3 linked regions of the Oryctolagus cuniculus genome follow. The protein of the gene in region 1 interacts with the protein of each later gene in a pairwise test. Links are inferred from orthologs where the notes say so. Each region holds a gene or a part of one and is shown in the gene's direction. Other genes may lie near its edges. The genes, in order: AQP1, RGS17 and TRIM23.

What was found.
Region 2: the proteins of AQP1 (region 1) and RGS17 interact in binary tests that used the Homo sapiens proteins (3 or more experiments, as listed by UniProt). The two-hybrid records come from large-scale screens. The link is inferred for Oryctolagus cuniculus from reciprocal best matches to the Homo sapiens genes AQP1 and RGS17.
Region 3: the proteins of AQP1 (region 1) and TRIM23 interact in binary tests that used the Homo sapiens proteins (3 or more experiments, as listed by UniProt). The two-hybrid records come from large-scale screens. The link is inferred for Oryctolagus cuniculus from reciprocal best matches to the Homo sapiens genes AQP1 and TRIM23.

What each region holds. Positions count from the first base shown.
Region 1 is NC_091447.1:22,134,418-22,137,999, forward strand, and holds the end of AQP1 (aquaporin-1), read left to right. Parts: coding exon 1-138; intron 139-447; coding exon 448-528; intron 529-1,070; coding exon 1,071-1,250; 3' UTR 1,251-3,007; downstream 3,008-3,582. UniProt on the Homo sapiens protein: Forms a water channel that facilitates the transport of water across cell membranes, playing a crucial role in water homeostasis in various tissues.
Region 2 is NC_091436.1:14,661,643-14,666,245, forward strand, and holds the start of RGS17 (regulator of G-protein signaling 17), read left to right. Parts: upstream 1-1,642; 5' UTR 1,643-1,809; coding exon 1,810-1,817; intron 1,818-4,603. UniProt on the Homo sapiens protein: Regulates G protein-coupled receptor signaling cascades, including signaling via muscarinic acetylcholine receptor CHRM2 and dopamine receptor DRD2.
Region 3 is NC_091445.1:86,561,915-86,565,755, reverse strand, and holds part of TRIM23 (E3 ubiquitin-protein ligase TRIM23), read left to right. Parts: intron 1-233; coding exon 234-512; intron 513-1,091; coding exon 1,092-1,274; intron 1,275-2,671; coding exon 2,672-2,887; intron 2,888-3,841.

The sequences.
Region 1 (3,582 bases):
GGCCTGGGCATCGAGATCATCGGCACCCTGCAGCTGGTGCTGTGTGTGCTGGCCACCACCGACCGCAGGCGCCGCGACCTGGGCGGCTCAGCTCCCCTTGCCATCGGCTTTTCTGTGGCCCTGGGACACCTGTTGGCGGTGAGCTGGGGGGACTTTCCCTGGTTGGGGTGGCAGTCAGGGAAAGCCTTGCCCGGGGCTGTGGGTGGGGTTATGGATGGAGCAGGTCAGCCTCAGGGGACTAGGGGACCTCCCGACCAGCTTTCTGGGCCGGTGTCCCTCGGTGCTTCTGTGTCTGACTCGCGCTCTCCCCCACCTCGCTCTCCTGTCGCTTCCCCTGCACCTGTCTCTGCCCCTGCCCTGTCTCTTCATTCCTCTCCCTTCTTTGCCGGGTCCCGCCTTCCCTCTTCTTCCTCTTCCTCTCCCCTTGTCCGTCTCCCCAACCCCCAGATCGACTACACTGGCTGTGGCATTAACCCTGCTCGGTCCTTCGGCTCGGCGGTGCTCACCCACAACTTCAACAACCACTGGGTAAGTGACCCCTGTGGGGGCCGCCTGGGGCGGGGGTGGGTGGGAGGCACTAGCATCTGCGGCAAGCCTGAGCCCACCTCACATCCTGCTTTCCCTACACAGAGGTCTGGGAGACAGCGGGGCCACGAGGGGTCACACAGTGGGCAGTTCTAGGACTGGCTTCTCCCTCCCAGCTTAGACCCACCCTGCCCTGTCCGGCCCACAAGTCACTCCAGCAGCATGGCTGAGAGCGGGTCTGAGTCCTGCCCTGCCTGATACAGCGTGGCCTGGGGCAGGTGCTTGCCTCCTGGTGCGGTGGCTTCCCCAGCTGTGAAGTGGGTTCACAGTGGTCCCTCCCCAAGCAGGGCTGCGGGGCGGAGAAGGCAGGCACTCACTGGCACACCTGCAGGCCGAGCTCAGCTCACAGGGAGCGCCCGATGGGCTTTCGCTGTGACGATGGCTGCTGTGCAGGGTCCAGGCCAGCATCTTACCTGCTGGGCCCTCACAGTGGGGGAGGCTGGGAAGAGCTGGACGCCCTCTGAGCCTGCCCACTCTGCTCCTAGATCTTCTGGGTGGGGCCATTCATCGGGGGCGCCCTGGCCGTGCTCATCTACGACTTTATCCTGGCGCCGCGCAGCAGCGACCTCACGGATCGCATGAAGGTGTGGACCAGCGGCCAGGTGGAGGAGTATGACCTGGACGGCGATGACATCAACTCCAGGGTGGAGATGAAACCCAAATAGAGGGGCCAGGCCCAGGCACCGACCTGGGGGGTGCGGGTTTGGGGGGGTGGAGGGCGGGTGGGCTGAAATCCGTATTACAGACACTCTGACAAGCTGGCCAAAGGCACTCCCCTGAGTGGACCTGCCGTCGGGGTCAGGCCTCATTTAGGGGTGTCCATATAACTTTCTTTCTCTGTCTCTGTTTCTTGGCCTCGGAGCTTCTTGGTGACCAAGGTTTACCAGTTGCCCCACTCCCCTGATGTCATGGAGGAGGTGAAAGAGAGGCCCTCAGAGTGTAGCCTTTTCTGGCCTGGAGGGGTGCCAGGCAGTCCCCCTCATCCGGAGTTGCTCACCTGCTCACCTGCCACAGGTGCCTGGGGTTCTATTGTCAAAGCTATGTGCCTTTGGGAGTGGCCCCCCTTTCCTAACATGCACCTTGCCCCCAGGAGTGCTGGGAAGGAGATCCCAGCAGGTGCAGTGGCGGGGGGTGTGCAGACAAGCCCTGCCCCTGCCATTTGCCTTGGTCACAGGACCCTCCCACTGTGCTTTTGCTGCATGAACTTGGAGCTGGCCCCATCTGTACAGTAGCAGGGACAGGGCGAGCCATGTGGGTCTGAGTTCCTCTCTAGGATTCTGCAAGTGTAGACACGTCATGGGTTCCAGGAGGTGTAGTGTAGACCCCTGTGCACAAGCAGATGGGTTTCAGAGCAGAGGTCCACCCACCGCACAGGTTTCTGGATCTGCTGCTCCCCAGGGAGTGGCTTCCCAAGTCGCGGTTGGCTGTTGCAGACTGAAGGTCATTTAGAGGGCAGAGGACAGGCACTTGTGTTCCTTCACCATGTCCACGTCATGTCCATGGCCCGCTGCACTGTGGCCATCATATCTCAGTTCTCCACTTCCCTTGCCAGTGTGGACACAGGCCCCTGATGTGAGTGTGTCGTTAAAGAACCTTGGGTTCCCTGAAGCCTGGAGGCCGGGGACAGCCAGACCCCTATCCTGAGCAGCCCCTGGGGGCACAGCCACTGCCAGACCCCCGCCCCGCTGGCCCTGAGTGGGAGGAGCCCCCTTGCGCAGCCCCTGGGGGCACAGCCACTGCCAGACCCCCACCCCACTGGCCCTGAGTGGGAGGAGCCCCCTTGCTTTGTTCATGAGTGTGGTGGGGGGCATCGGGGTAGCTTCCTGACTCTGGGACCCCAGGCCACAAATCCTTTCCTCCTCACTGACCTGGAGGGCAGAGGTCAGCAGTGGGAGTTGGGGAGCTGGTCCTTCCGCTCAGCTATCTGCTCGAGTCCATTGAATTCCACCAGGGCCAGAACAGCTCCCTGGCGTGTCCATAGCCAGGGTGGCAATGAAAACCCAGAGACACAATGACGCAGGTGGACAGCCAGGAGGCCTTAGCAGTCACTGGCATGTGGCATGTGCACATGCATGTCTCCATTCCCTAGCAGGAACTTCCAGCCATTTAACAGATGAGGAAACTGAGGCCCAAGACCCCCACAGCTAGATGATTTGGCCAGGCCTAGCAATGAAGGCCATGTCTCTGGCTACTCCCTGGAGCTTGAGGCTGACCCCTGTCATTTGCAGCTTCCCAGTTTCTGCCTGGGCACTGACCAGGGCCTGGGGGTGGGGGTGGGGCGCGTGGGAGGGGAGAGGGGCAGGCCCACTCCCTGCTGGTTCTGGCTGCTGCGCCGAGGACCCTGCATCTGTCTGCTCTGCATACCTGCCTCTGGATTTGGAATTTCACGTATGTTAAGTCAATAAAGGAAATGACACGTAAAGTCCGCTGGCCTCCTGTGGTTCTTCTCCCCGGGGTGCTGTGTCCCTACAGGGGTGTTCTGGGTCTGCAAGGGAGGGTTGGGGAGGTCCTGCCTGCTCGCCTGCTCTCAGGACCCTCAGCACAGAACCCCACCGCAGGGGTGCAGAGTCCTGCCCCGCCCACCCCACCGCCACCCCTGCAGGCAGTGTTCGGGGCTCAGTGGACCACTCTGGAGGTCTGGGGGCAGCTGAGTGGTGCAGGGGTTCTGGCCGTTTGCTCAGGGTGGTGGGAGCCATCTCTGACTGTGGAGTGTGGGAGGACTGGGGAAGGCGGGGCTGAGGTCCAGCAGCCCCACTAATCCCCTCTGCCCCGTATAGTGCTCTCCCTCTGCCCTCAGCTCACATGTGTGACCCCACCTGCCCCTGTGCCCCAGGGGGCTGAGGCTCAGGGGACACACACTCAGTCCTCTGAGTCGGTGAGATGAGTGTCAGGTTCAGGGTCATACCTAGGTTCCTGACACTGCCCCAGTGCACACACTTTGGGCTGCTTCCCCCTCATTGGGCCAACTCTGGTGGTAAACTGAGAGCTGAGAACAGG
Region 2 (4,603 bases), on another chromosome or scaffold:
AGGAATTAAACCCAGGCACTCCAGTGTGGGGTGAGGACATCCTAACCCATGTCATAACTGCTAGGCTAAATGCTCACCTTAGGCTGATAACATTGTTTTTAATTTGAGAGGCAGAGAGACAGAAAAAGGGAGGGGGGAAAAGGAGGGAGATATAAGGAAGCAGAAATTGATGGGTATCGAAGCCAGGTACCAAACCCAGGTACTGTGATGGTGGGACCCAGTCATCCCCCCTGGTGTTTTAACAGCTATACCAGCACCTGTCCCAGATGGCTTTTTTTTTTTTTTTAAGATTTATTTATTTGAAAGTCAGAGTTACCTGAGTTACCTAGAGAGGGAAGGAGAGGCAGAGAGAGAGAGAGGTTTTCCATTGGTTGGTTCACTCCTCAGTGGCTGCATTGGCCAGACGTGTGCCAATCTGAAGCCAGGAGCTTCCTCTGGGTCGTCCCAGGCAGATGCAGGGGCTCAAGAACTTCAGCCATCCTCCCCTGCTTTCCCAGGCCATAGCAGAGAGCTGGATTGGAAGTTGAGAAGCTGGGTCTTGAACTGGCACCCATATAAGATGCAGGCACTGCAGGCAGCGGCCTTACCCACTATGCCACAGTGCTGCGTCCCTCAGGTTGCCTTTAGACATGCCTATAAGCAATTGTTTTCCTGTCTTTGAAGATGGCTTATTCAGAACTCTTGTCTAGGTGTCTATTGGTGTTCTCATATATTTTTCTTATTTGTGTGTTAATTTTTAAAGTAAACAAGGAAAGGAAATGCTTAGTGTGAAAGAAAACAGAGATCACTTTGTCTAAATCAGAAGGGCTGGAAATGCATCTGCCAAGGGATCAGGACTGCCGTGGTATTCATAATGTATTGCTACTATGCCTACACTTTCCAACTTGTACAATTCCTTTAGAAGGGTCAAGTTTGTATGTGAAGATTACCCAGGTTTCCATGGGTTGTTTCCGTTTGTTGCCATTGTTACAGGAGTCCAAGTTTCCTAAGATGAAGGGCGTTGAGAGAAAAGATGGGAGTACAGGGAGAACTTTTTGAGACATTAATTGAGATATCTCATCACAGTTGCATCTATTAATTATGAAACTGTGAAATTAATATTATATCCTACCTCAAATTTTAATGCATATGTGACATCAAATATTTAAAATATAAGAATTTTGTGTTTGCAATGCTTCACATGATTCAGTGGTCTTTTAAGCTCCTGATTTTGACTTTTTAAACTCTATAACATTTGACAAATTTGGTTTCCAAGCTTAATTAACTTGGAAAACCTATGAAGTCCCTTAGGTATGAAACTACCTAGCGAGTGTAAAATTTTATAATCATTGGAGGTTCCAGTTTCTTAAATATGGTACTATTTCAGGTATTCAGATTCAATGAATGCAGAACTTACAGTGAGTGGGAAGTCCCTATAGGAAGATCAGTAAGCTGTGGTGGAAAATAATATCTCATTTCAAAGACAACGGGATTTGAAAAGTTACTCTGCTATTTACTAGATATATAGGATTTCTCAAGAAAACTAAATATTTCATAATAGGAATTCTAACATGAGCAATGAACATCTGAAATCTCTCTGTCTTACACCTTGTAGGTGAAGTTTTCTTTTAAATCTTTGTGTCAATAGATGTAATTTTATTATAGACAATGAGTATGGGTTCACAAAGCAAATATTTACTTCCTTATATTGGGTCACATGGCCTTTTCATAGTACTGCTGATTGGTTATTGAATATACTGGTTAGAATTTAAGAGCTGTAGCATTGCAGTAAAACAGACACAACCCAAGGGGAATCATGACATACATGAAATGAGCAGGTAAGTGTTGACTTTGTTCTGCAGTGCTTCTCATTGGGAGTTACATTAGGAAAAATTCTTTTCTGAAAGCTGACAATACTTTATTTTCAATCTTGAACGTTTGGGGCTTATTTTGGGCAGTGATCTACTTTGGAGATTTTAAGAATCAGTTTTGTCTCTAAGAAGACCACTCCATGTCTCCTTTTTTCTCTCGATGGTTTTATGTTTTCAGGATTCAGTTAACCAAAATCAACAAATATTTGCCAGTCTGCTATGTGAGAAGCTGCAGTCCACAGGATTAATTAGACAATGTGAAAAAGCGTGTGGATAATTGCCCTTCAAAGAAAGAGACTTTTAAAGCAAAGAATGTAATTTGGTAGACAGAGATCAAGTTTTGGATTAAAATAACCAAAGGTTTTCTTCAATTCTTTGACCATTGGTCTCATTACCTTTAAAACCCAAAAGTGTTTAAGAATGAAATGAAGTTGTTTATAAAAATCCTTCATATATTGACAGTAACTATGCATGTTTTTGACACTATGTTGAGCTAAATAAAATAAATATAATAAACATTGTTTAGAGAATAAATACTTGAGATTTTAGTTAATTGCTGGTGTTTGTCTTAATGAATGGGTCCTTATTAATGTTGAAGTTGCTGTCCATGTGTTCTGTGTTATCCTTTCCTGAGTAGACGAAGAAACCAGTTAAATGAACATTCGTGAATGAATGTTTTTGAGTACCTGCTCTGTGTTAGGCTCTATGGTATGACTTTTGAATGCAATGGTCAATTAAACATGAACCCTTTCTATAAGGAGTTCACATATAAGCTTCTTCAACATATTATTACTTTGCTTTTATCTAGTTATGCTAACCTTAGAAGTCATAATTAAATACAACATTTCTCTAGGGTTTAGCAATTTAGGGGAATTAACCTCAAAATTTAGGAGCCTCTACCTCTCAAGTGCAAGCAGGCTGCAAAGCAGAGGCTCAGAGAAAGAAGGCAACAGGCAGTGGATCTGCTGGTGAGAGACTTAACAACCTCCATTAGAACATCAAAACAGCTAAAGACTGGAGGCTTAGGACTTTTGGGAAGTTACAAATTGGGAGAACCACACTTCACTGTCATTAATGTAAAGGGAATGTCTGCGTGCAACTGTACTGTGCTTTTCCTCTCACTTAAAGGCTTCCGTGGGTGGTGATCATAATATGAGTCAAGGCAGATGAAAATGGTGGTGGTAGGGCATGTGCAATGGAGACAGAAGAAGTCACAGCCATGCCCTTCCTTAGGGTTCATGTTTTGCTTCTGTGCTACTATCTTTCATAGTAATCTTGTGATAATACACTACACTGGCCAAAAGGCCTGGATACTCTTTTCAGATATATACATATATCTGATATATATATATATATATATACACACACACATATATATATAAAAAACTTGATTTTGGAAAGATGAACTCATCTTCAACATCAGCTTGTTGAAATCACTAGGGTGAATTCTAAACCCAGCAACTAGGTTTACTCTAATCCAGGAAGATTTAGTATCATTCATAGAATCTGAGTAAAGTCATCAAATCCTCCCTAACAATATGTTATGAATGTACATTTATGTTGCCTGTCTATGGTGATGAAAGACGTTGACATCAGGAATGAATTATCTTGAAGGTGTGCTAAACCCACATGTAAGCCACTAAATTTAACATGCTTGTCATTACACCTTTGACTGGGCTGTTAATGAATAACCATGTGAGCCACTTTGAGGTTTGAACCTGTTTCTTTTTCAATTTATTTCCTCTCAGCTCTACCGTATGGCATTTGTGACCTGTATGTTTAGTATGACCAAGACTTACCAGATAAAAACAAAGAAAAATGAGTGTCTCTTTTGAGGGTACTATGCTATGCAACACTATTTAAAAAATAATACAGTGATTTACATAATCTACAAACTGGTGTGACTGACTGAATGCTATATTGTGAAGTGTAGTAGTCAATACTCCACATGAATTGCAGTGTTAACATTTTTCCTAACTAGTGTTAGAATGAAGCTTGATATTTGATCTCCCTTTTTATTTTATCAACAGTATCAATAGAATTTGTAAATAGATATGTGAGAAGAAAGGAGTATAGATAGTTCTCATACAAAAATTGGTGTTTGTCATTATATTTATCTTAGAATATGTACATTTCTCCATAATTTATAATATATCATGAACTCATGTTCAATCTGTCAGGAAAAAAAAATCTCTGCTGTTTTATTCTCTTCTGGTAGTCATGGATTAACTGCCTTGCTTGTCATATCTGTGCTAGTTTATGAATAAATAATGTCTGTAATCTTGATTCAAGCCATTAGAGCCATGTTTTCTTCATCTGCTAATGTACAATAACGTCAGTTTTCACTGTTGAAATCTTTTTGATGAAATTACTTTTAAGTAATCTCCGGGTCTAATGACTCACCTGTATTTATATTAATTATGGATTTAGTTGAAAGTTATGCATGTATTACTTTTAAACCCCAAAGATAGAGAAGTCCTTTATACACTGCAGAGTTTAATATTTTGAAAAGATGATCTGTGTGGAACTGTATGCACGTATTTGTGTGTGATTCCTGTCTGTATTCATGGGGTGAGAGTGGGGAACTGCTGGCCTGCCTGCATAATCATTGGCAAATATTCAGGAGAAAAGGATGCGTACTGCTGAACACAGGTGGAGGTGTCAGTGAGACAAGAAAGTCAAGTAACAAGTAGGAAGGCTGCACTCAGAATACAAAATGATTAGCTGAAAGCTCATTATACCTTAAGATATAA
Region 3 (3,841 bases), on another chromosome or scaffold:
GGACTCAAATTCATAATAGGTATTGGTAATCTATCCTGGAAATAGCTTCTCGCTTACCTGTAGAAATGAATGCTTTCTTAGATGAGTGACTAATGTCTCTTGTACATAATTATCAGTACATTTTCATGTAAAAGTCTGATTTGTTAAAAAAGATCATGGGCTTTTGTATTTTAAAATCTGTCATGTTATAATGATTGAATTCAGTTTTAAGACATTACTTTTTTGTTTGTCAGAGCATTATTCGTTGTGATGAAGATGAAGCTCATGTTGCATCTGTATACTGCACTGTGTGTGCAACTCACTTGTGCTCAGAGTGTTCCCAAGGTACTCATTCTACAAAGACTTTAGCGAAGCACAGGCGAGTGCCTCTAGCTGATAAACCTCATGAGAAAACCATGTGCTCGCAGCACCAGGTGCATGCCATTGAGTTTGTTTGTTTGGAAGAAGGTTGTCAAAGTAGCCCACTCATGTGCTGTGTCTGCAAAGAATATGGAAAGCACCAAGGTCACAAGGTATGAATCTAATTAAACTGAATGACTAGCTAGTTTACCAGCCCACCATTTGTTTTCATCTACCTGATCTTTATCCTAAAAGTAGAGGTTGAAGAAGAGATAAGGGAGGAATGTGTTAGGCTTTGCAGTGTATAAAGAAATGAGAGCTCTTTATTTCTGAATGTCAGAAAAATGTCAGAGGCCTCATGATTCTTTCTCTACTGAGAAATAGCTTTCTAGCAAGAAGGCAAAATTCTCTTCTTTGAGTTTGTGTTTTCATAATGTACTGGGTTGTTTTGTCAGTATGTAAGTTTATTGATGAACATTTCTTATAGTATAATTTTAGAGATTATCTCTAGGTTTCTTGTTTAGTGATAGATGGACTTCCAAATTTTAAATTATGTGCAGGAAAGTTTTCTTTTTTAATGAAGGAGTTAAAATGAATTCATATTGTTTAACTTCTTATATACATTTCTAAATGTGTTATAAAGGCCACTTGAGACTGATCTTTTTTGTCTTAATAGAAAGGTCTTAAATAATTTTTTAGTATCATTGGCCAATGCTGTGAGTTTTTTCCTATGGTTTTGTTGCATTTTATAGCATTCAGTACTGGAACCAGAAGCTAATCAGATTCGAGCATCAATTTTAGATATGGCTCACTGCATACGGACGTTCACTGAGGAAATAGCAGATTATTCCAGAAAACTAGTTGGAATTGTCCAGCACATTGAAGGTGGAGAACAAATAGTTGAAGATGGAATTGCAATGGCTCACACAGAACATGTATGGATTTCTTTCTTCCCCCTTTCCTTATCCTTTTTTTGTTCACACCTTTCCATTTTCTAGTAAGTATTTATTGAACGGTTAATGTGAATTCCGTACTGCATCAGTCACTGGAAATAAGTTTTAAAAAAAACCTGTTTTAATGGAATGTGTAATTCATCATGGAAGAAAGATAGTTTCAAGTGTGGTAACTTTTGTGGGTGGGAACTACAGGGTTCCTTGGCATGTATAACAAGGGCAACAATTTTTGTGTGTCAGGGAAAGCTTCCTAGAAGTGATTCTGAACTGCAATTTGCAGGAATGCAGTCAAGAGGAAGAGCAGGATAGGAGTGAGTTGCTCTGGAGAGGAACAGTATATTAAAATGCCTGGAAGTGAGGGTTAGGCTTCCTGTTAAAACTTAAGTTCACTGTGATTGGAACTTTTGAGTATTGAATGGAGCATGGCAAGAAGAGTTTGGAGAATTAAAGACTAAATCATCCATGATTTTGTCAGCCATATACAAGGGTTCAGAACTTAGCTTAAGGGCAGTGATGAGCCCCTGAAGATTTGACATAGAAATGGCACAATAATATCTGTATAAAGAAAGGTTGCTCTGAAATGTAGAAGATGAAGTGGAGGAGCAACAAGATTGGAAGCATGAAGATGTTGAAATGCCTAGTTCAAAAGTGCTTCTGTCCTATGATACTATGGTAGTGAAAATGGACAGAAGTACATGGATTTGAGACTTTAAAGAAGTCATATATATATATAAAATATGCATATAATATATATTTTAAATATTTATTTTTATTTATTTGAAAGATGGAGTTACAGAGAAAGCAGAAGAGAGAGAAAGAACATTCATTTACTGGTTCACTCCCCAAATGGCTGCAACGGCCTGGTCTGGGCCAGGCCAAAGCCAGGAGCCAGGAGCTTCTTCCTGATCTCCCACATGAGTGCAGGGGCCCAAGCAGTAGGGCCATCTTCCACTGCCTTCGCAGGCACATTAACAGGGAGTTGAATTGGAAGTGGAGCAGCTGGTCTCGAACCTGCTGTGCAGCAATGCTGGCTCCTTAAAGAAGTTTTAAAGAATTTGCCAAGGGATGAGTTGTAGTACATTAAAGAGAGATGTTAAGGTTAACTCCAGTTGTTTTTATTTCAACAACCTGGAGGATGGAAATGCCATTTACTGAGATGAAAGTAACTAGGGTTTGGGGATAGATTAGGTGTAACATTTTGCTGGAGATGCCATTTGTGAATACTTGGATGTCCACAGTCTATAGTTAAGGAGAAAAATCTAACATGGAGATTGAAAACTTGGAATTTTTGAGGGTATAGATGGTATGTAACTTTTTTCATCATTTCAGTTATAAAATCTTTGTTAACATTACAGTTGTTGAAAATTGTATTTCTTTAGGTACCAGGTACTGCAGAGAATGCTCGATCATGTGTCCGAGCTTATTTTTCTGATCTACATGAAACTCTGTGTCGACAAGAAGAAATGGCTCTAAGTGTTGTTGATGCCCATGTTCGTGAAAAGCTAATTTGGCTCAGGCAGCAACAAGAAGATATGACTATTTTGTTGTCTCAGGTTTCAACAGCCTGCCTCCATTGTGAAAAGACTTTACAGCAGGTAGGTAGGTAGGTTAAATGTTGTTAGGCTCTTTGTTGTGACATTAAGTAGATAATTACAGAAACTACACACTAGTCTGTTTTGTTGATTTAGTGTGTTCTGTCACGTGCATTAACGTTGTGCTTAGGACATGATCTCTAATTTGAAATTGCTACACCAGCCACATCAGCATCCTTTCCTTCAGTACCTTCCTCCCATAACGTTACGGATTCCAGAAGCCCTCAGGCTTCATTTCATTCTTCAGTGCTGCCAAGCCCTTTCTTACTTTTCATGTCAGGTGTATACTCTTCTTTCTGCTTGGAGTGCCTCTGTCTTTTCATTTTCTCTCTTTCTCTCTCTCTCTCTCTTCTCTCTCTCTTTCTCTCTCTCTTTCTCTCTTTCTCTCTCTTTCTCTCTTTCTTTCTCTTTCTTTCTCTCTCTTTCTTTCTCTTTCTCTCTTTTTCTTTTCTTTTCTTTTCTTTTCTTTTCTTTTCTTTTCTTTTCTTTTCTTTTCTTTTCTTTTCTTTTCTTTTCTTTTCTTTTCTTTTCTTTTCCCTCCCTCCCTCCCTCCCTCCCTCCCTCCCTCCCTCCCTCCCTCCCTCTCTCTCTCTCTCTCTCTCTCTCTCTCTCTCTCTCTCTTTCTTTCTTTCTTTCTTTCTTTTTGACAGGCAGAGTTAGACAGTGAGAGAGACAGAGAGAAAGGTCTTCCTTTTTCCGTTGGTTCACCCTTCAATGGCCGCTGTGGCCGGTGCACTGCGCTGATCCGAAGCCGGGATCCAGGTGCTTCTCTTGGTCTCCCATGTGGGTGCAGGGCCCAAGCACTTGGGCCATCCTCCACTGCACTCCCAGGCCACAGCAGAGAGCTGGCCTGGAAGAGGGGCAACCGGAACAGAATCCGGTACCCCGACCGGGACTAGAACCCCGGGTGCCGGAGCTGCAGGCGGAGGATTAGCCTAGTGAGCTGTGGCACTGGCC